Linked DNA regions of Lepisosteus oculatus. The protein of the gene in region 1 purifies or fractionates together with the protein of each later gene. This does not show direct contact. Links are inferred from orthologs where the notes say so. Each region holds a gene or a part of one and is shown on either strand. Other genes may lie near its edges. The genes, in order: nup160, nup43, seh1l and nup133.

Evidence for each region.
Region 2: the proteins of nup160 (region 1) and nup43 purify together in Homo sapiens (affinity purification with mass spectrometry; 5 studies listed by BioGRID and IntAct, counting the BioPlex papers as one, with this or other methods). This does not show direct contact. The link is inferred for Lepisosteus oculatus from reciprocal best matches to the Homo sapiens genes NUP160 and NUP43.
Region 3: the proteins of nup160 (region 1) and seh1l fractionate together in Homo sapiens (co-fractionation; 3 studies listed by BioGRID and IntAct, with this or other methods). This does not show direct contact. The link is inferred for Lepisosteus oculatus from reciprocal best matches to the Homo sapiens genes NUP160 and SEH1L.
Region 4: the proteins of nup160 (region 1) and nup133 purify together in Homo sapiens (co-immunoprecipitation; 4 studies listed by BioGRID and IntAct, with this or other methods). This does not show direct contact. The link is inferred for Lepisosteus oculatus from reciprocal best matches to the Homo sapiens genes NUP160 and NUP133.

Annotation. Positions count from the first base shown.
Region 1 is NC_090716.1:4,054,710-4,061,757, reverse strand, and holds the start of nup160 (nuclear pore complex protein Nup160), read left to right. Parts: upstream 1-4,043; 5' UTR 4,044-4,078; coding exon 4,079-4,175; intron 4,176-5,027; coding exon 5,028-5,136; intron 5,137-6,384; coding exon 6,385-6,595; intron 6,596-7,048. Other genes in the region: hatching enzyme 1.2-like, read right to left, coding at 261-306, 826-894. UniProt on the Homo sapiens protein: Functions as a component of the nuclear pore complex (NPC). Involved in poly(A)+ RNA transport.
Region 2 is NC_090697.1:4,921,575-4,929,543, reverse strand, and holds the start of nup43 (nucleoporin Nup43), read right to left. Parts: upstream 3,014-7,969; 5' UTR 2,900-3,013; coding exon 2,780-2,899; intron 1,824-2,779; coding exon 1,701-1,823; intron 782-1,700; coding exon 704-781; intron 1-703. Other genes in the region: pcmt (protein-L-isoaspartate(D-aspartate) O-methyltransferase), read left to right, coding at 7,818-7,969. UniProt on the Homo sapiens protein: Component of the Nup107-160 subcomplex of the nuclear pore complex (NPC). The Nup107-160 subcomplex is required for the assembly of a functional NPC.
Region 3 is NC_090705.1:9,368,659-9,375,578, reverse strand, and holds the start of seh1l (nucleoporin SEH1), read right to left. Parts: upstream 3,004-6,920; 5' UTR 2,822-3,003; coding exon 2,711-2,821; intron 1,780-2,710; coding exon 1,729-1,779; intron 1-1,728. Other genes in the region: ptpn2b (tyrosine-protein phosphatase non-receptor type 2), read left to right, coding at 6,712-6,768. UniProt on the Homo sapiens protein: Component of the Nup107-160 subcomplex of the nuclear pore complex (NPC). The Nup107-160 subcomplex is required for the assembly of a functional NPC.
Region 4 is NC_090712.1:2,256,966-2,264,768, forward strand, and holds the start of nup133 (nuclear pore complex protein Nup133), read left to right. Parts: upstream 1-4,799; 5' UTR 4,800-4,937; coding exon 4,938-5,065; intron 5,066-6,136; coding exon 6,137-6,246; intron 6,247-6,738; coding exon 6,739-6,842; intron 6,843-7,526; coding exon 7,527-7,631; intron 7,632-7,803. Other genes in the region: uncharacterized protein abcb10, read left to right, coding at 368-411, 553-587, 844-1,099. UniProt on the Homo sapiens protein: Involved in poly(A)+ RNA transport. Involved in nephrogenesis.

The DNA.
Region 1 (7,048 bases):
CCACCTACTGACGGTTCATGGCGCTGTTTCGATAAAAAATATAACGATCGTCATATTTTCTCTTCATATAGCAAAGGGTGGTATATTCTCAGTGTCATAGAAAAACGAAGTCATATTTAGCTTCAAAGGCGTGTGATTGATGTGGATGCGTAATGGGTCAAAACATACTGTGCTATTCTCAGCGGGATGTTTACTGTTTAGATATCCTGTCCCAGTAGGTCTATCTTCAGCCTTGCTATGTGTTTCATACAGAACTATACCTGTGTAGCCGCTTTCTTCATTATTGATCTTCAGGTCCAATGAAAGCTGCAGGTGAAGAAAAGAACGGCTTCACATTTATATTAAAACTGACAAAACACTGCTGGATTCCTTGCGTATAACACTCTGTGCCTCTCATATCTTGACTTAACGGGCAGGACCTCAGTTAAAAGTGTCAACCAGTCAGATGTTTAAGTCTTTAGATTACGTTTATTGCATTCATCAGAAATCAATTAATTTATTTAATTTACATTATTAAAGAACGATGACTAACGTATTTTTTAAAAAAAAGAGACGTTCAACCTTGATCACTGTGACAGAAAATAAGAAAATCGTTTAAATCGATCGCTGAGCTCTCCAGAAGAAACAACTAGTTTGTCTTGATTCTGATTACACAGAGTTCGAGACATACTGTAGTACTCCCAGCCCTCCATTCGTTTTAAAACAGCTTTAACCCTGGATCGCTGGATACGCCGGAGCCTATCCCGGCAAGCAAGGGGCACAAGGCAGGATACACCCACGCCAGTCACTGTGTAACTTCAGACAGACGAACATGTTTCTCCTTACCTCTACAGGGTAGCAGTGAAGCGCACGGAGCCAGGCGACTAAGAGGATGCTCGCGAGAACAGAGGTCATGGTGACAGACCCCACAGACTCAACCCGATGCCCTCGCGCCCTCGCGCCCATCTATATATATCCCCACTCCACGCTGCGAGAGCAGAAGTTCAGGGCGCCGTTGCACAAGCGTGTGGTGCAAACCCCAACGGTTTTAACAGAAATGCCATATATATCTGGAAAAAAAGTGTTTCCTCAACCTGTTGTTTCTGTGATTTGCATACTTGAGCGGTTCTATAAATCCCTAATGATTAAAATGTTAAAACCCGAGGAGTATACAGGATATTAATGTCTACGTTTGCGTAGATTCATGCATTTGTATATTATGCTAGGTTTTTTTTCCCCAAGCAAAAAAAGAAAATATATATTTCGTTCGGTAAAGATTTTTCTGTGCCAATAAAAGTCTAAGGATATCAGTGCCTTGGTTAAAGAATATGTAATGTATTTTTATATTTTGTTACTAGTGGTACTGCAGGGCACTCCTATGCAGTATTATACAGTATAATAGCAGATCCCTGGGCATTAGTTTTTGAGAAGTTGACCAAAAGCAACAGAGTATGCAAGCTCGTCTCTAGTTGTTTATGAATTACCTTCACGGTTATGTAGGAAGCAAAGAGTCAAAGAGGAGTCCCCGTTGTGTTTTAGGACGGTGCCCCAGAAATATGGAGTAAAGTATCTAGACTGTCAAGCACAGCTGAGCAAAGGTTGTGTGGAGGGGAGTACATTTCTAACACATTGGCTGGACACAGAGACATAATGCATCTTCCTGAAAAACAAAGAAGGTAACCAAGAAAATAAAATGACCAAGACTTAAACGGGTTTTTTATTTGCATCACAACAAATAAGAAAGCACACGTGCGCACAAACCACAATATGCTTTAAGAGCTTGTAGAATGAAATGCACAACAAAAGTGTTATTATGCGCAGGGCAATCAACGAAAACCTCAAAAGATGCAATTTTCCATACTGATCTTAAAAAAAGGATCTGAATGCTGCAGGTTACAACTGAATCCAGTTTGCGCTGTCTGCTCTTCTGACACAGGGCTCGTGCTTGTTCTGTGCCAGATTATAAACTCTGGGTGACAGGAGCTTCTCTGGTCATGCTGGCAAAGTAACAATCCATTTCCTTCGCTCCAGTGCCTTTTGCCTTTTGCTTTCATATCAAAGGCTCTCAAAAGCACTTTACCTACAGGAGAGGAGCCACTTCATCCAGTACTGAAGTGCTCTCCCCGCCTGAAGACCGACCAGTTAGTTGCTTTATACCGGTTACATTCAAAGTAAACTTCAGATCGTTGAGATCCGGAGTTTCTGTCGAAAAGTGCCCTGGGATCTTTGCATTCCTGGGTTTATAATCCCAGGCAGAGGGCGATACCCAGCAAGAAGATGATCTTATCTTATCTTATACCTCCTGCAGCATAGTGTACACAGTCACCATACGGTAACATTGGTTGGAATATTCTGGTCCCGAGTAGACTGCGCCACCTGCTGGATCCCCCCACTACATTCATTTCTCCTGGCGTTACATTCGTTTTATATAGTCGAATGTGCTGATTTTTTTTTAATCAACGCTGATATAGTATCCCCTGTTGCTGGTGTTTTTACGATGGACTTTTTTGTTTTGGTGTTTAAGGTTGAGCAGGAGATCTGTGCTTGGGGTCATAGTCGTTTTTTTTTTCCACATCGCCTGGAGTTGAGAAACGGTCAGGAAACGCGTCCGTTTTCGCAACCGTCGGACTGCAGCCCTGTCGGTTCGCCTTGCGCTCGATCGGGTCCTGCCTCTCGGATTTGCCCCCCATTAAGAGGAAGGTGCTGTTGCACAACGTTAACAGCTTTGCGCCAGGGGTGAATTCGGTCTTTGATTAGGCAGCGACGCGACTTGATCGGCGCTGCATCAGATCCGCCAGAACGGTGTTGACGCTACCGGCATTTAACGTGACCTTATGGTATTTACATCTGGGGTCGGAAAGCAAAACCAAACTGCCCGGGATTGTGAAAATGGCAGGAAACATAATTGGGAAACAGCAGCCCCAACTCTGTGATTTATATGGTGATACAGTTCTCAGAATGGCGAGGAACATCACAGCTGCCTCCACATACCTGCTCCATTCTCAGTTCATAATGTTCCCATCAGGGAGACGGCATAGGGACCACAATTCAAATAAAAACATTTATAAGACGTCCTTTGTCCCCTCTGCATTAAAACTACTCATTGGCGGTCTGTCAATGTAGCCCCACCTCTAATTATCCAGTTACTTATGTATCACTTACTGTTGCCGTGATTTCAATGTGATTTTATGTGACTCGTGTGTTTTGTACTTCTGTGGGAGAAGCCAAAGACAGCTTTCCGCAGCGGGGGACAGTGAAGTGTCTGTCCGCAGTGCCGGGGTGCGGGTTCGAGTCCCACGTGCGCCGGGGCTGGGTGTTCCGCTGGGCGTCGTGTCCACTTTCTGCAGCCCCGCGACAGAGGGGTCGAGCGCTCAGCTACATGAGAAAGGGGCGCAAATATTTAAGTCGCGTTGCCGAAAAAAAGCATTCAAGTATAATAGTAATACCGTGGGCGGCTTAGTGCTCGTTAGCCTAAGTTGTGCGTAAGTATAGGTCTAATTCTGGGACCTTGTTCAGCGGTATTAAATCATTTTGATATTTGCTTTGTACAACAAATCTCAGAAAATGCCCCTCCTGTGTCAGTGCGTTTATAGCAGTATAAAGCACACTCAGCAAGGGGCACCCTTACTTGATTTGAGCGAGCTTATGTAATACATTGTGTAAGCGAGTGGTTTTTTTTTTACATTTGAATTTCTCTTTAGAAAAAAAAGATTGCCGTCCCCTCGGCAGAGACGTTTACAACGATTTAGTTTCTAAAAGAAAAATCGGAGATTATCAGTGCTTTTAAAAAAAATCAATTACCATGGAGAAACGTTCTGCGCTGTAAAAACGAGTCGAACGACGTCAAACAACCTCCTTGTATCGAAATTTACTCTGTTCCTATGACAGCTCATGCTGTTTAACCCTGTGCATTGTTTTGTTAATTGCAGAGCATTTTCAGTGATTATGCTGCACTGGATGTACGTTTAAGCCATTGATTATTGATCATGCCCTTGGCACGGGCAGGCGGTACTGCGCCTTTAAGAGTTTGAAAGAGCGCGTGGCGGGTCTGTTGTGGGACCGCCCACTTAGCCTTTCCCAGGGTGCACCGGGGGTCAAGATGGCGGCCGCGGCGGCACTGGAGCGGAGCTACATAGAAATATGTGGTTTCGAGAGAGAAACCCTCCAGAAATTCCGAGATATAACGGTTGATCCAGGTAAAGGCCCTTAAAGGATCACGCACGGGGGACGGGGGACTGTACTTTGTTGGGTAAGATAGTACGATCCCCGGAAGACGAGGTCGTGACTGCCCACCATGCAGCGGGTTAGCCATGCCTTCGGTAGAGCGCCTATTTGACACTGTACTAGCAAGTAAATCAATTAAGGTACCAAGCCGCCCCGCGGGTCTGGAAAACCCAAGTATCACACCTTGATTGGTGCCCTCCAGTAGATCTTGAAGTAGTCGAGGTAGGGTTTTTTCTAAAGTGTTCTGCAAACTTGGCTTTTTGAAGAGGAGCAGAGGCATGGATTATGAATTCGTTATTTGTAAAGTTGCGGTCATTTCCTACACAACATAAATGCTTTGATTTTAAGGTGGCTTTAATTTCGCTTTACAGTGATTTACATCTTAATCATGGAGTTAGTCTCGGACTCTATATGCTTATAATGACCTAACTGTAATCTTAAGTATCGCGCAGTGGAAACTCGATTAGTACAATTCTTTCGAATCCCATTATCCGCGGTGAATCCAGCAGGACGGTAAGCCCCAACACTGCGAGATGTGTGCTAGCAAGTCTTTTCAGCACCCTGCTTTTCCTGGGCGTCTCTAGATATATCGAGCCTGATACAAGCATGCAGCGTCCGGCGCCCCGCTTTCTCTTGGAATTTACACAGGAAGATAAAAATATGAGTGTTGCCACCAGTCACTCACTGGACTGTATTGCTGGACTGGAGAGGGCGGGTTTGTTTTTTAGTTGAAAGCCTTTGCAGAGTCTAAAGCCTTACGAAGAAAACTCCCTTTTCGCTCGCACGCTGTGATACAACCCTTTGTCTTTTTCTCTGATTGCAAGGGGTGAATGCTCTTCCCGGAGGAGTCAAATATCCGGACAGTGCTGGTGGATTCCATTATGAGGAATGTGATAAGCTCCTGTCTGTTACAAGCAACAGGTTCATACAGTGGTGAGCTGCAAATCTTTTTCTTTTACCTAACACTTGTCATACTAGCATAGTAACGGGGATACTATACTGTAAAAAGGCGCCGTCCTTCAGCTGAGATGTAAAACCGAAGTACTGATTCATCTGTAAACTGGCTTCATCTCCTCCCCACTGAGAGCTGGTGTGTGGTGAGCGTTCTGGCACACTATGGCTGCTGGCGCATCATCCAGGTGGGGCTGCACACTGGTGGGGGTGTAGGGGATCCCCATTACCTGTAAAAAGCTTTGTGTGGAGTGTCCAGAAAAGCGCTATATAGGTGCATAATGCTAGCATAATGAGGGCCCTTTTTGATTTGCAATATTGGTGTTTCTTGCAGTTTTCTGGGACAGTTTTCTGGGTGTTTTCTCATTGCAAATCTGTAGGTGATAATGTCTACTTGCTGTGGTGTCTCGGGAAATTATGTTTACTTCGTGGCACTAACAATGCGATGCTGGTTTGTAGTGCGTCCTGATCGTTTCCCACCCCAGGCGGAGTGGAGCGGTTCATACTGTATCTCCCAGCTGCTCGTATGTCAGGGCTTAATTCAGGGTAAATTGCTCCCTGGGCTCAAACAGTCTGACCCCCCCAAAAGCTCCGTTGAATTAATCTCCTGCTGAGCAGTGGGGTGGAGTAGGTCTCCTCCCTCATGTGGAGTGTTCTTGCAGCCCCTGGGATGAACAACGCTATGCAAATGGCAGGAATTATCAATAAAAGCATGCAGTCGACTTTGGTAAATGAACGCCTTCATTGATCTGCTAGAATTGCTTTTCCTCAGTTTGTTGTTAATTTCTCTTATCTAAAGACTGCAGGGTTTTTTTATACTGCCCTCCAGGTAGGGCCCAAAGCATCAGAAGATTCTATGCATTATGCAAGCATTATGTAGTCAATACGGGGGGGCAAGCATCTCGGAGGTCCTTGGTTCAGTTCCTGTCCGTGTGGAGTTTGTATGTTCTCCCTATGTTTATGTTGGTTTCCCCCACATGCTCTGGTTTCCTCCCACAGTCCCAAGACATGCTGGTGGGTTAATTGGCTTTTGGGTAAACTGGCCCTGGTGTGTATGTGCCCTGTGCCCTGTGAGGGACTGACATCCCACCCAGGATGTACCCCACCCTTGCTTGCCGTGACAGGCTCCGTCTCCCTCGCGCCCCTGATCTGGAAGAAGCAGTTAGGAAAGTGGGTTGTTGTGGTGTTGGTGGTGTGGGGCATGAAATCGCACTTTCTCACCGCCTCCAGGAGCACCTCCGGCGACACTGTCCAGCTGGTGGAGCAGTCCCTGGACACCAACCTGCTGAACAACGCCGTGCGCTTGAAGATCCTCCACTGCGCCCTGCTGCCCGGGGGGGTGCACATCCAGGAGACCTGCAACCATGTCGTCGTCCTCGTGGTCACCAGCCAGACCGTGCACCGGCTGGTCCTGCCCCACCCCTCCCGCATGTACAGGAGTGTAAGTTCTCCGGGAGATGCCGATTGCTCCTGCCTGGTTTCTCAGCGCCCCAAAACCAGGATATCAGGTTCTTTTTGTCTTGTTACAGTCGCAGCAGGGGCTTGCATTACAGACAGCAGGCCGATGGTCACTCAGGAAATTGGGGCTGGTTCTTGTGGTCACTGACTGCTTGCAGGCCTGCTTGTTTGTACCGGATTTTACACTAGAGTTTGCCCACGCTTAACCAGGGAAAAAGATTTCGGTGAAATCACCCAGGGATGTTTTGCACGGTGAAACCTGGTAGCCCAGAGTCCTTAATCATGTTGGTGTTCCCCGTTAACGTCTTAGCTGTGTACCTACTGTGTACTCCGGGGCAGAGCGGTGGCTCTGTGGCTGGGAGGTTGCCGGTTCAAATCCTGCAGCCGGCAGAGGAATCCTACTCCGTTGGGCCCCTGAGCAAGGCCCTGAACCCCA
Region 2 (7,969 bases), on another chromosome or scaffold:
ATAAACAGAGATAGTTCAGAGAGACTCTTTTCCTCCAGGAAACAACTGAAACTCCTTTCAGTTGCTGTAATTCTATCTTACTCCAAAGACTCATGCTTGTCTGAGGCCAACAGGCCATTTCTGTCCAGGTCTGTTATACAAGCAGCAGGTCAGGACCCATATTGGGAACATCTACATTTTATATTTTGAGAATCATTTCAGAGAGTCAAAGTGAAGAGATGGGAAGAGCGATGTAGTAGATTCGGGGAGTTAACATGAGATAAGGCGAGCTACTGTACCTCGGAGGAACTTAGTTATGATGAAAATATTGAATTAAAAATTTATATTTTGGAGTGCCAGTAACATGCACAAACATGCTTTTCTGAAGCAGAGAGTAAAAGATATAATTCAAAACCAAAGCTAAGTTAATTTCATCCCTCCAGGGTGATCTAAGATAAGCAACACAGAAGAACTCAGAGTCAGATTAACTTTAACATGATCCTATTCTAACATTCTGAAATAACGTCTTTACTACAATCAAACTCAATATTATGTTCTTTGGAATATGCACATTTCCAGAGAATCTCAAAGAAGAGAACAAAAGTAGTAAAACAGAAACACAGTCTGAAAGACAGCAAAACCAAAAAAAAAAAGTTTTGAACTGAAAGAACAAAACAGAATGAGGTCTAAACTCTGAAAGAAAGCATTGGAAAGACAGATCTACCTGGCTGTTGTGATGGTGTCGGAAGATGGTAACTGCTCCAGTTGATGAAGCTGTAACAATTCTCTCATGGTCCAGAAACTAAAAGAAACATCACAAGAAAATAAATGTGCCTTACAGGGCATGTAAAATGGTCATAAACACGAATAAAAAAAGAGTAAACCAAGCTAAGTCTATACCAAGGTTTAATTCACAACTAACATTTATAGGTCAGAGAATGAGAGAAAAGTATATTGCTTTGAAGGCTGACCTACATAATCCTCCAGTAACACATCGAAAGAAGAATAAAGGATAAAGCAACATTAATAAAGGATTTATTACATTCACAGGAATAAAACATCATTCCTACAAAGCATTTCTGGAAGAATTGTGAAATGTGTCCGAGGTTGAGGAACAGTGACGCTGTTTGATATTGAGCGATCGCGGCATCACACAGTAATGTATGAACATTTTACGTTGTGCCTGATATTACTACTTCAAATGTACTCAAAGAAAGGTGGAATGTCACTTATGGCCTGTTAACTAGGAATTTTCTTCTGATGCTCAAGACCCATTGTACTGTACCCATTGCCTGGGGAGAGGCAAATTCTGTATCCACACAAAAATGTTTACTTTTAGACATGTTATACAATCAATACGACATAATCTAAAAGAGAATACAACTTTAGAATTTTCAGCCAAACATAAGCAGGAATAAACACAAAGTGTCTGATATCATACATAATATGAATGATGTTTCATACTAGTTCCCACAAAATGTCTTTTGGCCCTAGTACTGCCCTTCCATGTTTTTTTCTGAAACCTCCTTCTGTGGAAAATTCTAAACTGTCTGCTAAGATACCACAGTTCCATTATTCACCTCACTTGAGAGAATATGAAAGAGGAAAATAGAGTTACTGCCCCTTTTTAGAAATTTTCAAAATGACCAATGATCAATCGTAGTAAAAAAACAATGTACAACATATTTCCAGATAGAAAAACGAATGAAGAACAAGTGTACCTGAAGGTCCATGACATCACCGCCATGTCGGTAGTCACACAGTAGCTGGGGGTCTCCTTCAAACTCATCCTCCATGCTGGTGACGCTAAGCTCCCCCACAGACCATATGGAAACTTTATTGTCCTGGCACAATGATGCAAAAGTGGCATTCAAGAAGATATTCCTTTCTATCAGGTAATCCCGCATGTAAAAACACCCCTCGACCATGACAACTGCCTGCAGCTCACAGCTGGCAGCCCACTGGAGCTCAGCTGCGTGAGGCTGGCCAGTACCTGTGGGGAGACTCCTGCGAAAGCTAAGGCCGCTACTGGAAGAGGTATACGTAGAGCCAGCAGGGGGCGCTCAGCCTGCGGTCTGTGTAGTCCTGATACCCCAGTATAGTAACGGGGACACTATAGTGTAAAGAAAAAATGACATCCTTCGGATGAGACATAAAACCGAGGTCCTGATTCTCCGTGGTTATTAAAACTTAAAAATCTCAGGGCTTTCCACGGTCTCCTAATAATCTCCATTACTTCATTACTTAGCTCTCCCCACTGAGAGCGGCTGTGTGGGGAGTGTACTACCTTCACATCATCCAGGTGTGGCTGCACACTGGTGGGGGTGGAGGGGATCCTACTTATTGTAAAGCGCTTTGAGTGGAGTGTCCAGAAAAGCGCTCTATACTGTAAGTGTGAGGAATTTTTAATAACTGCCGCTGTGACGGCTTCATTCACTTCTCTGTAAAGCTGAACAGTAGAGCCTATTGGCTTGTCCCGTACGGAGCCACGTTGCCTTACAATTACAAAATGAAGTACAGAACCAAATCAAGTCAGACATATTCAATGTTTTCAATGTAACGAGAGACAAAAAACTGAGAAAGAGTTGGAAGCAACGACAGTAGTGTGCTCAAATCTGCTGGGGATACAGGATCGACTTCCACCTAGTAAAACGTGAAATGTAACATAACACCGGCTTTATCGCTTGGTCTTAATCTGGCGTGTCTTGAGTTAAAGACTTATAATTTTTACGAAAACAAAACTGCTTTCGAAAGGACATCCATTCATTTCTTTCATGCTTATTACAGCTCTATAAATTACCTCGTTATCCCAAGACCCTGTAGCGAATATATCTGGCTTTTGGAGGGATGCAGAAGACACCGGTCTCCATCGTGTCTTACTGATCTTCTGAGACACAAATTTGGCATTTATGTACTCCATTAAAATGCTATTTTATTGTTGTAGCTCACATTAAAATATCATTTAAATTTGAACTGTTCTTGCGGCTCCCCGGATCCCGTCAGTTCCTCCTCTTCCGGCTCACAAGACGGTCACGTGAGTACGGATCCTCGGCGAAGACAAGTGTCGTTCACATGGTTAAATACGGTTGCAGAAACATGAAAAATATCTACAAAATCGTAGTTGAATGAGATTGAAAATATGCTCTGTTATTATATTTCCTATATTGTGTTTCATGTCATCTGTTAATGGCATCTTTAATTGATCACATATACTATTTACACCAGTAATGGTATGTCTCCGTACATTTTCAACAAGCTTAACAGGTGGTCAATGGCAACTAAACTGAAGACTGTACTTATCGAGGAAGATTCCGTCTTCTATTTTTACACTATAGTGTCCCCATTAGTACCCACCAAGGTCAATACCAGTTGCAACGAATTTCAGTTGCTGAAAATAGCTCACGGCTCCATAATAAAATGTCCTCGCTTCCAACGAACCCAACTGAGTTGGTCCAACTCTTTCTATAGACGCAATCTAGTATCGTACTAAAATGAACACTAGATCCCATGTTCATCAGGTTCATGCAGCTTATTACTGAAATGATATCGTTCATTTGACTTAATCTTAAGCGTTCTTAAGTGTTTGGTTGGAAACTTATTGTAGTATTCAAATGCTCAACAATATTCAAAATCATAAAGAAACTAGTCGCCATTCAGTTACAATCTCATTTGACCTCTGTTTTTAACCAGCCGGTACATACGGTACAGAGACGGCCTTGGTCTGTTTGTCAAACCTGGGACAATTTGTTGCAGATAATAATTTTAATCAAAATTGCCCCATTCTCTTCAAGTGTCTCCCAAGGCTCTGCCCTAGCACTTATTTGTTTTAGTCTATTTATCCCCATCAGGCAGTCTTATTGGTGTCAGCTTTAATTTTTACACTGATGAAATTTAGCTTTACATCTTGTGTAATCCATAATGCAATGTTTCAATTATGTCAAACTGCGTGAGTGAACTTCCGGCTGAAATGTCCTCCATTTAAATATGATAAAACCTGAGATGATGTGAATAAACCCCAGGGAAGATGAATCTCATTTAGTAAATTCTCTACAACTTGGAAACAGTAGCCTAAAAGTATGCCCTACTATGAGAAATCAGTGGTCTTTTTTTAAAACAATATCTTTATTGTTTTTTCCATATTTAATATGAAATGAGAAAATATGAACTATGTCCAAACAACAGAAAAGAAAAAGGAAGAATGTGATAAAACATCCAGACAGTTCCAATAACTCATACAATGGCAGTGATTCAAAACACAAGTCACCCAGGTGTTTGTTTTTTAACATAAATACATGTTATATACAGGGCTTAAATGTGATACCTTTCATAAAGCAGTTCCTCTAATTAAAGCCTTTACTCTCTAGATGTTACCCCGATTATTCTCTAGAAAATCTATGCAATACTTCTTCCAAAAACCCTGAACTACCAGACATTCCCACATGCAGTGAAAAAATGTACCTTTGTTATCTTTGCATTTAATTAGGATAGAACTGATGAAGTTCATGTAGTGTGATATACAGTCTTCGTATCCACTTATACTGTAAGAGTTTTAAGCTAGTATTCACAGTCTGAGTCTGAGCTTTCAAACAAGTTTCACTCCACTCTTCCGCAGAGATGTCTTCTTGTATATCTGTCTTCCACGATTGAAGCCTACAGTCAAACGATTCTTTCGATTTTTCAACTAGCACCCCGTACACCAATGACACCTGTCCGGTGGTCTTTTTTATCCCAAATAAATGATGCACAAATAAAAGACGCCTGTAAAGTCTCTTACTTTCATCTCAGAAAATTTGCTTGAATTTCTTGATCACACTGCTGCAGAAACCCTGATTCATGCCTTGGTCACACCTCGGCTGGATTACTGCAGTAGCCTTTACAGTGGTCTCCCGACCAGCTCCCTAAACAAGCTCCACGTGGTCCAAAACTCAGCTGCTCGACTTCTAACGTGTTCTCTGTGAAGACATCTCCCCCAATTCTGAAACATCTTCACTGGATCCCCTCTACCCAAATGTATCCAGTTCAGAAGTTTACTTTTAACTTTTAAAGCCAACACATCCAGCCCCACAGTACAGAGCACCTGAGCATCTCTCATTACCGCTGTGTATCAAGCAGGGTTTTACTCTCTGCTGAGGCCACCTTCTTACAGGAACAAGTGTCTGTTCAGTCTTTTACAGTTAAAATCTAGACCAGTCACCTATCAGGTTTAGTCAGGTTTTTAATTAGTGTTTGCCTTTCCTCCTTGTCCACGTTGTTGATCTTTGCCTTTATTTCTGTTGTGTGTTATGTTCTACCCTGTAAAATGCCCCGAACTCTCCTGCTGTACATGGGCACTGAAATACATCCTTGTAAACGAACCAGCTGCAGGTGGCTCTGTGGCCAAGGATCTGTGCCTGTGGCTGGAAGGTTGCTTGTTCAAATCCTGCAGCTGGCAGAGAAACCCTACTCTGTTGGGCCCCTGAGCAAGGCCCTTCACCCCAACTGACCCTGCGCTCTGACCCCCAGCTTCTCTCCCTGTGTCTCATGGAGAGCAACCTGGGGTATGTGAAAAGACACATTCCTAATACAAGAAATTGTATATGGCTAATAAAGTGATCTTATCAATAGACCTACTTCTCATGGTTCAATCATAAAGGGAGTTTTTTTTCTTTCTTTTCTCTTTTTCATACGCTTATCTCTCCCACATCTCTGGCTTCCTTTTTCCTACTCCTTTATTCCTGTTTTTTATATTAGTGGTGGAATTACACAGTGTGTTCAGGGACCCAGCTTGTCTTGCCATGACTATTGTTCACGCGTGTTTGTTATTGGGTTTGGCACTGTGTGACATTCTTTTTTTTCCCGGAAAAAACAATAAAAACGTTGAATACTAAGGGGGGTGCCATCCCTACCTCACACACTGAAGAGTGCAGAGCCCGTTGTATGCAATGGTGAGTCTTGAAATACAGATTCTGTGGAGGGAAGTGAACTGAAATTAAGGGAAATGCATATAAGTAAACAGGAAGTGATTCTTCACTGTGATCAGTCTCATCTGGGCATCATTTCTCTCTGTTGTTTACGGTGGGAGGTCTCCACACGGGAGGTTCTGAGAGTGGAGAAGGGATATGGAGGAACAAGGATATTCGTACACGGGGTAAAGTGTCTTATTTTCTGTAGGGTTTATTAAAGAAAACACTCTTATTAGGGTCTTTTCAGAGGTGATCGATGACGGCTCTTCAGTACACTGCCCCTGGCCGTGGGCCAGTAACAATAAGAGCGTCGATATAGCTGGCGTGTCGAAAGTCTTGGAGATGGTACAGGCAGTTCATCCCGGCTGACAGCAAGGCTGGGGCGGACCACACGTGGCAATGATACCGCTGGCTCTTACGGCGCTGGTACCCTGACCAAACGAGAGACGAGCAAAACGCGGTTTTAAAATGCCCAAGGCTCGCTCCATGGGCACCCCGCTGTTTCACGGCGCTGTACGTGTGCAGCCCCCTCATAACCGGTGCTCTCGGGCAGAGCCACCACGGGGCAAAGAGTCAGAGGCAAAAACAAACAAACAACAACAACAACAACAACAACAACAACAACAACAACACGCAGAGTTAACAAAACCTGGAGTGCGGGGCCCAAGAGACACCCCCTCATTTCTTCGACAAGTCGGGGGTATTCTTCGGGAAAACCCTGGGGAGATCCAACTACCCCGGACGGCCATGATCCACGGATATCAATTAGGCAACACCTCAGGCAAAGTACAACAATTTGCACGTAAAGAAAACCAACAACTTTCCGACCCAGTGTTCCGCTTGGTACTGTACTGGATTGCTTAGTTTAGCAGCAGTATCTGTAGTCTTGCACTTTGGTATCCTCTAGAGGGCATCAGGTGTTCCGTCTGCATTTGAAAACATGATCATATTTACCTGTGAGGACTCATTTCAGCAGCGATCGACCTGGCGTATTTCTTAAGCATTGAGCTGAGTACCAACCACAGGATCATCCACGACTAGGACGCTGCTCCCAGATCGTTGCCAAACGGTTTTTTTCTAGCAAAATAGCGCAGACTACACTAGTCCACAGATTGAACAGTGATATTATTCTGTTATGTATTTATATATTTTCAACACTCGCGGCCATAAGAAATGGTATATCAGACCATGCTGATTTTTTTTTTAATGAAAAATCAATGTGTGGAATATCTTACCTAAAGGCACCTGCTGCTCCCACGGTTGTTTTAAAGTTCACATCAAATCGATCGTGTTGCGTACACACACACGTTTACTTCACAGTTTTCATTTCTCCAGCTGGGTTTTATTAATGTGGTCCGATTCGTGTTCCATTAAAAGTGAAGGGGGGCAGTAAGGGAAAAGCTTATGTTTTATCGTCCAGATAGAAACCGCAGTGGGGTTTGAAAGAACCAGTGTCTGTGGCTGTGACCCGGTGGACTTGGGATGTCTAGCTCTTGGGCTCACGCCGTAACGGCCTTGCCCTTATGGTTGTCTCACTCACATTTGCAACCAGGCATTTACAAACCGTGCTTTTAAATAGATGCCCCCCCCCCCACTGCCCCGGTCATCCGCCGAGACCCAAAAAAAACCCCCCAAGCGGCATCACGTGTTCGTCGCGGGAGCGCGCACACACACACTCGCTCCGCCTGGTGGAGGAAAGAGGCACAGCCTGCGAGGCCGCCCGTCCGAGACGATTAATAATAAACAGCCGGAACCGCGTCCGGCCCGCACGCAGCTGCAAGCCAGCGCACCGCACCGCACGGCTGCTCAGGTCACCGCGGTGGCACTGACAGGGCAGCGGCCCACGGCGGCCGACTCCCCCGGCGGCGGGGACGCGCGTCGCGGGGGGGCAGAGCCATGTCGGGCGGCGCCGGTGACGTCACGCCGTCCGCGCTGGAAGTAGTCAGCGTCGTGGGCAAGGCCGTGTGCGCAGGCGCGGCACTGACAGCCGCTCTCTACCTGATCCGCAGAGTGTGTCTCACCATGGCCTGGAAGTCAGGAGGCGCCAG
Region 3 (6,920 bases), on another chromosome or scaffold:
GCTGAGTTGGTCAAAACTAAATTGTTCAGAAAATGAAAAATCAAGCTACAATCAAGCTACCTGCTCAATTGTGGCTGTACAAGACCCACCCCTGTGTTATTCATACCTTATTTCTGACAATTTCAAGCAAATCACAAAGGAACAGATGGAGGCTCTGCGATTCTACTTTCCAGAGTGACCTGCTTTGTAATACGCTGATCTCAACACACCCCTACCTAAATCAACACATATTGCCCCTACATTAGTGCCTGCCCAATTTTCTTACATCATGCCTCCTCTTTTTCTGTCATGTGGTGTCCCGCTCCAGGATTGCTGGTGCCATTGTTTTGGGAGAGTACCAGGAACATCACAATGTATAACCTGAAGGACACTTGTAAACGAGAACCCCAATGGAAAAATCGTTGGTGGGGACATGGAACACGCTAGGCAGCCACATTGTAGAAGGCGATACCACCTTTCAAGAAAAGGCAGAACGAGAACTTTCATGGAAAAATCTCTACAAACTATTAAAAGAGCTGAGAGGAGAGAAACGAGAGGAGGCCATTCGGCCTTTCTCAGGTTATGACAAGAACTGCCTCCTGTTCTCTTTTTCCAAATACACTTCCAACCAATTAAGAGGCGAAACTTTTGATATTGCCCGTACACATGGGCTTGACAGAAAAAAAGGCTGTTTTTTTTTTTATAGAAGGAACTGAGGAACTCCCCAAAAAAACCTAACAGAGGTAGAAGAAAGACAATTTCGACAGGATGCAGCAGAACAGTAGAAGCTGCAAGCATTTCTCAGTCTTCTGCTTCTCAGGCCTGAACTCATTCAGGCCGTTGGAAAAAGTACTTAAAAGCAAAACACCACAACCTTCTCCCACAGCCGGGAAGCTTAAGAAATGGCTTTCAAATGTACAACACCACAGTCTGCTCGACCCAGGCTGCTGGTTAGTGAATTCAACAGTAGCAAGATCTGCGCTGAATCTAGTCGTTGGTGTGTGTACTGTATAGAACTGTAGCTCTGCGTGATACAGAAACCTCCTCCTCGGGTTTCTCATTCCAACTCCCCCCACACACATGCTCTCAGATGGAAAGCCTCTGCCTGCGGTGGTCGTGGTGCTGTTCAGTGTCTGCTTTACATTCCTTTCCATTTTTCTGAGAGGACAGATTATCTGCCAACCACGTTATGAACCATAACTCACGAAGGTCTTTTAAAAAGAAGATTCGCTTGAATAAATGAATGACTGGCAGGCTCCCCTTGGAGATGGGAGATTTAATGAGAGCTCTTTATGAAGTCTGACCACATATATTAGCACGACTGAGAAGAATCAATTTATGAAGGGTAGGGTTGATGTTATAATGCTGGGCTTCGGCCTGTGAGAGGAAGCCAGAGGACCCAGAGGTAGCCAACAGAAACACAGTGAGAGAACCTACAAATTCCACGCAGGCAGCACCCCAGGAATTGAACCCAGGGCCTAACTGCACTACTGAGCCTCCACTCGATCCAGCTTTTCAGAGCCTATATTTAATTACCTCAGGTCCCCAATTTGGCAAATGATCCAAGCAGAAAGAGCAAGAAAAAATATGCAGCAGAGACAAACCAGGACATGATGCAGGGAAAGGCCCTTTGCCGTCTTCAACTAATTCCTGATCTACAGTGTCGTAGGCGAATGAAAACACTTTTATCAACACATTCTGGGCGGAAGATTAAAAAAAAACTAAGCACTGGTTTTGAATAATCCTCACCTTCCAACTGGCTGTGCAGTGCCATTCTCCGTTTTCACTTTTGTCCCAGACCTGAAACAATCACAGAATCAGCTCTTGTAAATATTCTCTGTGTATTTTGTTTATCTTTCTATAAATAACACTATTTTTTGAAAAATAAACATCGATTTTTGCTAATGGGATCAAACATTGCCCAGTCTTTCCAGAAAAGCCATGAAATTGTTTTACCGATTTGGAAAACAATAATTAAATAACTGGCTCAAACTCATCCTTGGCTTGAACATCTAAAAGCTTTGAAAATCATCTCTGCATGGAATGTTAGACAGCAGCAGTAAATACTAAAATGTCAGGATGTTCCGCAATACGTCTCAAAGATTTATATAGCTATGTACAAGCTACGAGCTAATGTATTAAGAAAAATAATTTGGTTAAAATCTGTTCTACAAGTGTGTGCAGCTAGGGGGAAATTAATGAACCTTTATCTCGGTGACATAGTAGTAGTAAAATATACCAGCTATTAATCTTTTAATGATGTATTACTTGTGAAGCTTGAACGTCTTAAAACGATAGATTTAAATAAAACACTTGAACAAGTCGTACTATTATACGTCTTCAAGTGGCGCATTGAGGACTTCATAGAAGCAAACGTATACTTGAGGGTTTCTGATATAGTATAACCTGCTAAACCAAGGCTTTATAAAGGACTGTATCCGAGCTCTTCGTGGTTAAAGTATATGTGTTCCCAGCCCAGAGCGGAAAACTAAATTCAAACCCCAATGCAAGATAAATTCACTCGTGACATTCACAGACCCGGCGCCCAACTCTCAGGCCTACACAGCCCGTTTGTTTACATGCTGCAACGCAGAAACGCTTCAAGCCGATTGCTTCGTGCAGCTGTTAAATTTACGCTTCCTAGCACGATGGGTACTGATTTATTGACAGGACTCCTCGGCGTTAGGATGATGTATTCATCTTTTTAAAAAAAAAACTCGCATGGAATTACCTTGACACTCTGGTCGCTGGAACAAGTCGCCATTCTCCTGCCGTGAAAATCGTAGGAAACATCGTGGATCAGATCCTTGTGATCCGCCGCAATGCTCCGAGCGACGAACATCGTCCACCGGCGCTGTTCTGAACTCTTCAAAGGCGTGTTTTAAAGCGTTACAATTCACCCCAGACTTTATTTTTTCTAATGCAACCTAGATTTAACTACATGTGAGCGCTGCACCTACGTTCTCCAACCCATTTCTGGCGCCTGCCTTCATGAGGTCATTGCAACAGTCCACCACAAGATGGCACCTCGGGCTATTCCTCTGTTATTTCAGTGAGAAGTGAGTTTAATATGAACACATTCTGGGAAAATCCGATTTTACAACCCCTCAATTACAGTGACCCATGTAGCGTGTGTTTAGTTATTATGCACCATGATTTTATTTCCCAATAAAAGCAATTCCCCCAAGTTATCATTTGATGTAAAAAACATCTTTTACGAAGTATTGTGCAATAGCACAATATCACCCTGCAACTCACAACTGGCAGCCCACTGAAGCTAAGCAGGTGTGAGCCTGGTCAGTACCTGGATGGGAGACCTCCTGGGAAAAACTAAGGTTGCTGCTGGAAGAGGTGTTAGTGGGGCCAGCAGGGGGTGCTCACCCTGTGGTCCATGTGGGTCCTAATGCCCCAGTATAGTGATGGGGACACTATACTGTAAACAGGCGCCGTCCTTCGGATGAGACGTAAAACCGAGGTCCTGACTCTCTGTGGTCATTAAAAATCCCAGGGTGCTTCTCGAAAAGAGTAGGGGTGTAACCCCGGTGTCCTGGCCAAATTTCCAATTGGCCCTTACCAATCATGGCCTCCTAATAATCCCCTTCTATGAATTGGCTTCATTACTCTGCTCTCCTCCCCACTGAGAGCTGATGTGTGGTGAGCGTTCTGGCGCACTATGGCTGCCGTCGATGCTGCACATTGGTGGTGGTGGAGGGGAGTCCCCATTACCTGTAAAGCGCTTTGAGTGGTAATAATAAATTATTATTATAACAGTTCTTAAAAGCAAAGCAAATCTTCCCAACACTACTAACACTGCAACAAATCAGATTTTATGAGCGCTTTCCAGGAAGCTTAAAAAAAAACTGAACATTTAAAAAATCTTAATCGGATCTGCGTTTTGTCAACACAAGATCCATATGCAGATTTGATCAAATCATACAGATTCCACAGTTCGTTAATAACCTCATGATTTTGGATGAAGATTGATTTAGACATAACAAAAGAGAAGTTACAAACGAGAGAATAACAGCCAGCCCATCTAACCCGTTTGGTAGTAACTTTGAAAAAGAGGTAGCCGAACAATGAAACGATTTTCCAAATGATTTTTAGACTTAAAAGCACAACCTAAATATTCTCCCAAATAATGCGTTAAATATAGTTCAGTTAAAATGCTTCTATTGCTTCCATATGCTGTACTTTTTAAATGTGGATGTCTGCGGTGATGTTTATACACGTGTACTTAAAAGGGATGTCCGGCATTGTAGCTGTACAGCAGCGCGGAGAGGTTGTAATGACCACGAGTCAGCCACTAGAGGGCACTCAAGGCATAAAATGCGCTCGATGGCCACGATGCACTCACGCAGTATAAGGGTAAGGGATCACAGGTGATCATGTGGCAATTCCAATGGGGTATTCAAATTCCTGAAAGCCCCTCACCACCTCAGCTCTGGAGCTTCATGACTCCATGATGAGCAGCAGCAGCACCACAGTTGTCCAGGCAGAGGAAAATAACAGCAGGAATCTTGAACACTCCTCTTGGGGAGGGGGGCAGGACAACAGCATTAACATGGTAGATGAGGCCTAGACAGATACTCTATTGTCCACTACGGTTGTTTTTGGATTCTCCCACAGAAGTACAAAACACACAAGCAAAACATAAGAGTCAAATAGTCACAACATCAGTATGTGATACATAAATAAATGGGTAGTGGGGGGGACTACATTTACATACATTCACTGACACAGACGTCTTATAAAAGTTTTTATTTGAAATTGGTACCCTGTACCGTCTCTCTGAGGGGAGTATTATGACTTGAGAATGCAGAGGGTGGGTGGAATCAGCTGTAATGTTCCTCGCCCTTCTGAGAACTGTATTGTGATATAAATCGCTGAGCTGGGGCTGCTGTTTTCCAATTATTTTTCCGAGCTCCATGCCACACAGAGAACATAAGAACGGCTACAAACGAGAAGAGATGCCATTTGGTCTCCCTAGTTCGTTTGGTAGTTAATAGTTAATTGACACAAGGATCTCATCCAACTGCTTCTTGAAGGAAACCAGGGTATCGGGGAGCTTGCTCCACACCCCCGCCACTCTGGGAGTAAAGGAGTGCATCGTGCTCCCAGTTTTAACGGCATGTCCAAGTAGTTTCCACTTGCGTCCTCAGACTCACGTTTCTCTCTTCATCCCAAAGAAGTCTGCTGGATGAACCAAAGTGAAAATAATGAGGAACCACAGTTTTCAAATTCCATCAGAATAAGAAAAACATCACAACCAGTTCAGTTTGACTAATGCCAGACACTGTTAATGTGTATTAAGAAGGGTTATTGTTGCAATTGTTATTCTTATTAAAAGATTAAACTCATTTTTTTTTCCATTGCCTGGAAAGCTGGATGAGAGCTGTCAGAAAATACTATGTATTTGCTGGTGGTTCCAGATGGCAGTCTGATTGCACTGAGCTCATTGCTGAGTTCTGATTACACCTGAACCTAATGACATATCCCAGACCCTAACACTAAAACTAAGCACTCCCCAGAAATATTCCCAAACACACTGGACTGTGTCTAACACAGTATCAACACCATCATTACACTAGTGAAAGAATAAGATCCAAGAAGAATAACTTGTGTATTTCAGGTTTCCTGTTGACAGTTAGCTTTAACAGTTTTAGCAGCAATTGTTTCTGATAATTGTTACACATATATTAAATATCTGTAAGTAGCCATTAGAGGATTTTCGATCGCTTGTGTTATTCTCGGCTGACCTGTTTTCTTTTGTAGACAGTTCACTTAGAAAAATAGCACATGCAGCTACCGTCTAAGGTCAAGATTTCGTATTCTCCTGAGGGCTATGTTTCATGGGTTCAAGTTAAAAAAAAAATAACGCGAGGGCGAAAGAGCAAATAACTTCCCACGATTGATCACCACCCTTAAAAGGCTAATGTTCATTTCAGCAGCTTCCAGATGGGCAGGCACGATACCGGCACGACCCTGAAAAGCGGTAGTCGCCAAATGCCTCATTCCGTCAATGAAGTTTTGATTTGTGTCGTAAAAGGGACACGCCACTTCCCGATTCATCTGAAACCGAGTTATAACCTTTTTGTCAGACACAGCTTGACATTTTGCGCGGTTCACACAGCGCCGGTCTTACGCCCATCTCCTTTCCTTATTTCTTCCAACAGTTTTCAATACAGTCATGATGCGTGACACGTTATCGTTCATCGGGAGGCAGAAGAAGTAGGTAATAGAGAGCGAAGTTTTTTTTTTCGCTGCGGTTTGATGTTCTTGAAAAAGCGGCAAGAATATTGCAATTGTAGGCGGCGGGGGGGGGGTATATATGTGTGTCTGTGTGGGGTGGGTGATTAACCTAAAGCCTACACGTCCAGCTAAAAATACACCTGTCTAACCAATGACATTCATTCCGCCCGGTGTCATCCCTGGGCGCCAGACCTCCCTCCGCCGTCTCATCGCACATCCGACAACCTGCCTGCGCCTCCTCTCGCGCCGCAGCCCGAGCAGCGAAGGGCCCCCCGCCAGTGCGCAGGCGCGGGCAGAGGCGCCGCTCTCCGCGTTGATGTCAGTTACACGGACACGCAGTTTGTTTCGCCGTGTTCCGGCAAATGGCTCGGCTGGAGGATGTGTAGCGACTGAAGCCGTGAACGCCGACAACAACTGACTCAATTTCTACGTCCGCGGAGAAGGGAGGGGGGGGATTGGCACCGCACCGGCACAGCAACGATGGACCAGGAGTTTCGGGACATGGACTCGGCGGGCCGGTGGCAGAATTTGTACTTCGTAAGTCTCAACTCGCGTTTTTCGTTACCCCCTCTCCGCAGCAGCTGTGCTCTGGGAGACGTTTGAACGCCTAGCTTCCGACTTTCCTCTAGGAAGTTCCTGGGCCGCAGCCTGGCCTCGGCGGCGCGCACCGAGCCCGCGAGTGGTACTGC
Region 4 (7,803 bases), on another chromosome or scaffold:
GGCACACAGATCCTGAGCCACAGAGCCCCCGCTTCACCCTAGTTAGTTTGCTTTAATTACACTGCTTCACATCTGGAACTCACACATCACTGGCAGTGATTGCAGGGGCAAATCTCCTGGCTGCTTCTTTTCAGATGAATTTTGGAGGGCAACATCTGAGAAGTCTCTTAGTATTCAGCATCACTGCTTCATGAGAGGAGGGAAATATTTCAATAGTGTGATAACTCCTACATTTGAAATCTATGACATGTAAGAAATAGAATCAAAATCTGCTTTTGGATTATGTTTATTAAACTGTAAATATTGGAACATAACAGACTCCATTCCAGAATAACATGCACGTAATTTAATTTCTCTCTACCAACAGGTGGTCAGAAACAGAGAATTGCTATTGCACGGGCTCTGCTAAAGGTATCTAATAGCATATTATGCTTCAATATCCTTGTTCATGACTGCACAGACTTAGACAAAGTACATACTAAACCTTATGCATTAAAAATGTATTTAAACTGGAAAATATTTGTTTCAATAAATAACTTTTTTATTCTCCAGAACCCAAAGATACTTCTTCTGGATGAAGCCACCAGGTACACAGTTTGATGCTGTTTCCTATTATTTCATATTTCATGATGCCCTGTTAAGCATTTATCTGATGATAAATGCTTGAAATTAAAGCACTGGCATCATACGTGTCACAAGAATCTTTCTGAAGGTGTTTAACTGTGAAATCCCAGCGGGCCCTGCAGACGATGCCCTGCGTGTTGTAGAAGTGCTGTAAAGAGAGTACAAAGAGTGTACTGTACTGACTTTCCCGGTGTGCGCCCTGTATTCCTGTCCCCCCAGCGCTCTGGACGCAGAGAATGAGTTCCTGGTGCAGGAGGCCCTGGACCGGCTGATGCAGGGGCGCACGGTGCTGATCATCGCCCACAGGCTGTCCACCATCCAGAACGCCGACGCGGTGGCCGTCCTGGACCAGCGGCGCGTGGTGGAGTGCGGCCGGCACGAGGAGCTGCTGGCCAACAGGCAGGGCCTCTTCAGGAAGCTGGTGGAGAAGCAAGCGTTCCTGCAGAACAGCCAGAAGCACGTGGTGGTGGAGTAACGTCAGTGCAGGAGCGGGAGAACTTCTGTGGCCAGTGTGGTCAAAGCTCTCATCACAGGGAATCCAGATTGCAGCTCTTTGACTTAGGTATTTGTTTTTCTATCTGTTCTGCTGTCCCTTCAACTTTGAAAATGCCATATTGTGTTCTGAAGAATATTGTCAATTAAAAATATACTGAACCCATTTTTACATCAAATAATAATTTTCCCAGTGAAACATTGAAGAATTTTAGTGTTTTGGCAGGCACACATTCCTGTTTAGTACGCTGAATTTCAGTACACCAACATTAAGTTCTTCTATCAAGGATTGGTTGTAATTTTAGATATACTGCATGGTAAGACAATAAATTAAATCACAGAAACTGGTGTGGGCTTTTCAAAATAACCGCCACACATAAAGCACAAGATGTATTGGAGTAATATTGTGTTTCTTAATGTGTCACAATCTTTACTACTGCGAAGGCATGCCATAAGATACTACATAGCTCACGTTCTGAAACTGTGAGGTTTATCATTTAATAAGTGCGTGTGTATTTAGATTTTCTAAATTAAGGATAAGCAAACTGTAAATTAAACAAACACGATATCATGGTATATATAGGGTACAGTCCTGTTTAGGGAATGTTATTTGTTTACAGCTTCTATGTATTGACTGGCATTTGTACCATAGTTATGGTTCTGTAATTATATTGTTCATTTTTATTTTTGGAATGTTTTGTACTTTATGTGCAGTTTTTCGTTTGTTTAAAATATTTCAGAAGACACTTGATATTCATGATGTAAGTACCATACAGTTCAATGAGGAACGAACCCAGACTTGTTGTATTGGGTCATGTGAGTGAGAGCAGACTGACGGGAGGTCCTGAGCTCTTCTGGATCCTGACTCAAGCTTATAAACAGCAGAGGCGGGGGCTGGAGCAATACTGCATCACTAGCAGAATCAAGTCAAACCAGGACTGCGAAGCTTCCCTTCTGGCAAAGAGCAAAACCAGAAATGAGATCCTGAAGGGATTGTTAGCAGTTTCTTTCATTTTGTTATTGTTTATTCTCTTTTAAGGCTGTTTCAATAACATTAAATTGTTTCTCTAATTTATTTTGTCAGTTATAATAATAATAATAATAAATAATAATAATTGCTTACACTTATATAGCGCTTTTCTGGACACTCCTGTAGCGGCAATGCTTGTTAATAAGACAGAATTAAGCGTTGGTATGCTGTCCTAAAGGAGGCCCCATCTCACCCTCCATCTCTGTAGTGCAGCCACAGAGAAAGTATTCATGCAGGCTGATTTAAGATGTTTTCTTTTGATAAGGGACAGCTCCCAAAGGGGGATGCACTTGGCTAAGCCTGGCTATCATGATCAATGGTCATCCATTGGCGCCTATCTGTCTAGGGAGTGCCAAATGGACATCTGGACTGCATTCCTAAGTGTCAGGAGTAAGTGACTCATATCTCACCTTGATCAACCAATCAGGGACTGGTAGGGCCGAGTAACCCACGCGGGACTCTGATGCCCATGGAACTGTCAGCCAATCAACGAGCTGAAGTTCCTCCAGGTAAAAACAGGCAACACAGAGAGCCTGGGAGATTCAAGGAATTGTGGAGAATTCTGTGGACTATTCTAAAGGGAATTCAAAGGAGAATTCCAGGGCAGGACGGCCCAGGAGCAGAAGGCTCCCAAGAGCAGGACATTCTCGCAGCACGCCTCCTGACCATCCTGAGACTCAGCCCGGACAACCACGGAACGGCCAGTGTGTCCGAGTGCCAGAACTTTGCTTTGTTCTAAGAGTCTAGAGCGGAGGTTGCCAGAGAGTAACCAGAGGATCCACCCGAGGTTAGCACCAGCAGCAAGCCTCGTGAACAGGTCGGAACTGTGGACAGCTGAATCACTATTCAGAACTAGCGCTTCATCAGGAACGAACCGGTCCTCTTCCTGACTTGCTGGGACCCACAGTCATCTTTTCTCCTGTGCACAAACTTTGCTAGTTAAAGCCAACACTAACTAGCGGTCAGTGAGCATCAGCAGCGCACCGTTGCAAGCCGCACAGCACAGCCTGGCATGGAGCCAGAGAGCGCAGATTGGACAGCAACAGCCTGCAACTGTTTCTTTGTGCCCGCAGGAGATCTGAATCCCCAGAGATTGGATGAGTATTCAACTTCAATGCATTACAGCTCGAGAATTCAATTGTTATCCCAACCAGTTGATATCAATTTAATTCCTAAGAGTTATGTACTTGTTTTGAGTATCTAATGTAGAAGTTGTAACCAAGTTCAATTACGAAACGGTCTAAATGAATGATATACTGAACGTATGTCCTCTTGATATATGTAACTCTTTGTAACTGACTGAATATATACCTTTTGTATTCTGATAACCCTCTCGATAAGATCTGTTAGGTTTATATGCATATTCTATGTATTAATAAATGTATCCTCGTGTATTAGTACCTGTGTGTGTGTGCGTTGTTTGAGTTATATCGCATGGTTGGATTCTAAAGCCATCAAAAGAATCAATTTTGTGATTTACTGCTACAATTAATAATTGTCCCAGTAAATGCCCAAACCCTACAGAACTGGTGCCTTCAGAGAGCACACTACACTCCACTCAAAGTGCTTTACAGGTAATGGGGATCCCCTCCACCGCCACCAATGTGCAGCCCCACCTGGAGGATGCAACGGGAGTCGTAGTGTGCCAGAACGCTCCCCACACACCAGCTATCAGTGGGGAGGAGAGCAGAGTAATGAAGCCAGTTCACAGTTCCTTTTCACAGGCTTTAAGGCTGCATTGTTTTATCAAAAATTACATTTGCTGACTAATACAGATATCAACCCTGAAACAGTCTATGAGGTTGAAATGTTTTTACTTTCTGCTGTTTCTGCTGCAGCATGCAGCTAACCTCTACTTGTTTCTTTGCAGAACCCACACTGATAAGGCTTACTCCAACCTCTTCACTTATATTGTGCTTTATTCAGCCATTTGTTTTTAAACGTTTTTTGTGTTATTAAAAATGTTTATTTGTAACATAATCGGGTGTCTCTGGGAGGAAACCACAGAGTGAGGCAGCAGCACAAACATCCACTCTGTTCTGTGAAAGACCGAACACTTGTACGTTTCCTCAACATTTCTACTTAATCAAGTTAAACTAAAAAACATTTTCAATTAAAATGAAGATGGCTCTTTTCAGTAAACAGCTGAAAACATTGGGAGAGAGTGTGTCCACCACGTAGAAGGCCCGGTATAAAGGCATCAAGAACACAAAGTTGGTTCTTGCTTGTTTTTTTTTTAGACAGTACACCATATTTTACTTTTATCAATAAACAGAACAATTTCGTTCTCCTTCTGAATTTCTTTGTGAACTGTATATTTGTGGAAAGATAAACACAGAATTGCATTATGTTCAAATAAATTTAAAAACCCTTTTGCAACTGACAGGAATATGTTTTTTCAAATAGCGAATTTGTTGTATAAGTTAAATATCTGAAATAACTTCATTTCACGAAACTATTAAAACGTACTACTTTCGAAACTAAACACACCAGAGCTGCGTTCTCACTTCCTTCCTTTTTATTTTTTTTACTTCCCTTTTCATACAGTGTTCTTTCATGATGTAGTCTGGTACGCTTTCTTCTCTATATAAAACTACAATCCCCACAACCAGCCCACGACAAATGACGTTTATGTTATGCGCCAGCACTTGTCGCATGTTGTGAGTCAGTGTGCGAGCGTTTTTTGAGGGAATCTTCGAACGAGGAACTGGTTGTCTCATGGTTTGACTTTATACAGAACCTGTGTGAAAGGAGTCGAAAATCGTACTCGGATACAGCGAACAAATAAAAGATGTTTTCTCCCCGGGCGTCTGCTGGATCGGCTCGCAGGCCGACCTCCAGAGCGGCCGGTAGAAAGAGCCTAGCCGGTACCCCGACGGGACTGTTCTCGCCGGTCCGGAGAGCGTCTCTGCCGGCGAGGTAAGTATTTTATCGAAAAAATGAAGCGAAAATTTACGTTAGGGTGATCTAACAGTCGCTTCACTTTCGTCAGTACTGATCCAAAAATAAAACAACGTGAAATGAAGCAGGATCTTCATTAACGATCACTAAAATAGTGAAGTTAGCAGAGCTGTACGAACAATCCTTAACACGAAATGATTAGTTTTAAAAGAGCAAAGCGCGGCTTGTTTAATCGCAAATCCTTATCACTTAGTAATTCTACGTGGTTTAGCGTTAATAGTTGTTTTTAAAAAACGTTTATCCTCTATCATTTAGTATAAAAGTCATAGAATTTACTTAAAACAACTGCGAATTTGAAAATCCCTCACCTGTTTAAAACTCGCTGGCTAACCAAGTTAGTTGATTTTAAATGTATGCGTTTTCGTCAGGTCAGGTATTTTGCTGATATCCTGAATATATAAGCAAACGATATTATTTGTGAACCTCGTGTCGGAGGCACATTTTAATAGTGAAGACTACTCTGCGAGAGAACTGCATTGTTCATTCATTCATTGAAATTCATTCATTAGTCCGCTTCCGTCAGATTCAGGGCATTAGAGAAAAAAAGTAAAATTCCAATCTGAATTGTGAACAGGTCCAAGAGTATTGTCGGCATGGCTGCTGTTTTCAATTGTGACAGCGCGCTGTCAGGTGCTGGGTTAACCAGTCACAGGACTTCACAGACCAGTGCGTGTGCTGCTGGTTCCGATCCAGCTGCAAGAACGACGGCACGAATGGACCCGGTTTGTTAGCATGCAGACCTCTGCAGAACCCGCACTGATGCAGCTTCGTACTCCATCCTCTTCATTTATCTTGTGCTTTATTCAGTCTTACTGAAAACCAGCCATTTGTTTCAAAGAGGTTTTTTTCGTTCCATTAACAATGTATATTTCTAACATGATGGAGTGGAGGAAACCACAGTACCCAGAATGCACCCCACAGGGAGCGGGCAGGCTCGACATGGACAGGTGTCCTTTTCCAGAATCCAACCCAGACCTGGGGCTGTGAGTGTGAGGCAGCAGCACAAACATCCCCTCTGTTCTGTTCCAGAGCGACTCCCACGCGGGCCCAGTACACGGCCACCGCCGAGAACTTCGACCTGCAGGGCTTCGGCTCTTCGTTGCCCGTGAAAGTGATGGAGGCCCTGACGATGGCCGAAGGTGAGCTTTCCTGTGCCCCTCCCGCCGTAGATATACTGTACTGCCTGCCTCCGGGCTTTTGCGTGTTGACACACTGTACATGATTGTACAGTCCAGCTGTCTCAGTACAGGCTGTGCAGCTTCTCTAAAGCCTTCGTCTTCATTCGAATAGCAAAGGCCCTGTCCCCAAAAGGGCGGGATTCAACTTGCTGAAAAATGCATATGTCACCAGAATCAAAAGCTTTCTGACCTTGCCGTGTGTGCGGAAATTGTTTTTCATTTATCTTCCAAGCTTTTTAAAATCAAGCCTTCAGTGGCTAGGGGTCTCAATAGCGTGTCCGGACGGCTATAGATGTTTGTACCCCACACACGGGCTGTAACCTGGAAATCGATGGCCGTGAGTGGGTGTGTTGCTCGGTGGTGCAGGCCAGGCCCTGCTGTATTCATGCGTGTGAACAGGCGTGATCTCCTGCCCTTGGCCTGGGGCTGAGCCGGGTGTCCTGTCTGTTGCAGAGGAGGAGGAGATCAGCGCGCGGGTGGACCAGAGTGGCTGGGCCTGGCTGGTGTGCGGAGAGAGTCTTATTATCTGGAAGATCGGGCAGACTGCTGTGGCAAAGGTGACATTTCCTCGTCTCTTTTTTAATCCCTAGAAAACCAGACGTCTGTGTACAGGGAAATATTGTGGGAAATGCATTGAGCGTTAAATGGAACTTTGACTGGTCTTTTCCTATCAGCTTGTTTGAAGATCTCATCTCTCTGTGACTCTGTCCTGTACGTCCATACAGGCGAAGGTCTGTCCTGCCGATACCCCAGGGACCTGGACACGTGCTGATGATGCAATCAGATACAGTGGTATGCAAACGTTTGGGCACCCCTGGTCAAATTGCACGCTTCACTGAGTCTCTAAGTGAAAGGTAGTTAACACAGCCTCTGGAGGGTACAAACGTAGACATGGCAGAATTCTGCACATTTTAATGCACAATTACCATTTACTTGACAGATTGAAAAAAAATAAAAAATAAAACCAGGGGTGCCCCAACTTTTGCATGCAGCTGTACAACGTGGTGGTTTTTGAGATCGATACCCAATGTTCCTCCCCCTTCTGGACGAAATCAAGCACTGCCAACTTCATCCTTGATTAGCAAAAGGGAAGGGTGTGTGGCCGTTCACATTACGAGCTGTGAGTTCTGGTTAGGAAAACCGTTTTCTAGCATCCATTGGCGTAAATGTGAAACGTTGCGGCTACATGTGGCGTTGATTTGGAGGCCTGCTGTCTGATTCTGTTCTGTTCTGAACCCCAGTTATCGGTCTGCAAGGAGCTGCAGCTGCCGCCCAGTGACTTTGCCGGCTCTGCAGATCTGGTCGCCCTGTCGTGCCAGGGCTCTGGCGAGGGGGCTCCTGTACAGGTGGGTTTGTGCGTCAGTCTGGGCGTTCAGAGCACAAGAGCAGTTCCTCGTGAGAGGAGGCCCCTAGGCCCGTCCAGCGCCTTCGCCTGCTAGTAGCTGATTGGTCAGCCAATCTCGTCAAGCCGTTCCATGAGGTATCGGCTTCAACACAGTTTGTTCCAGAGACCCACGA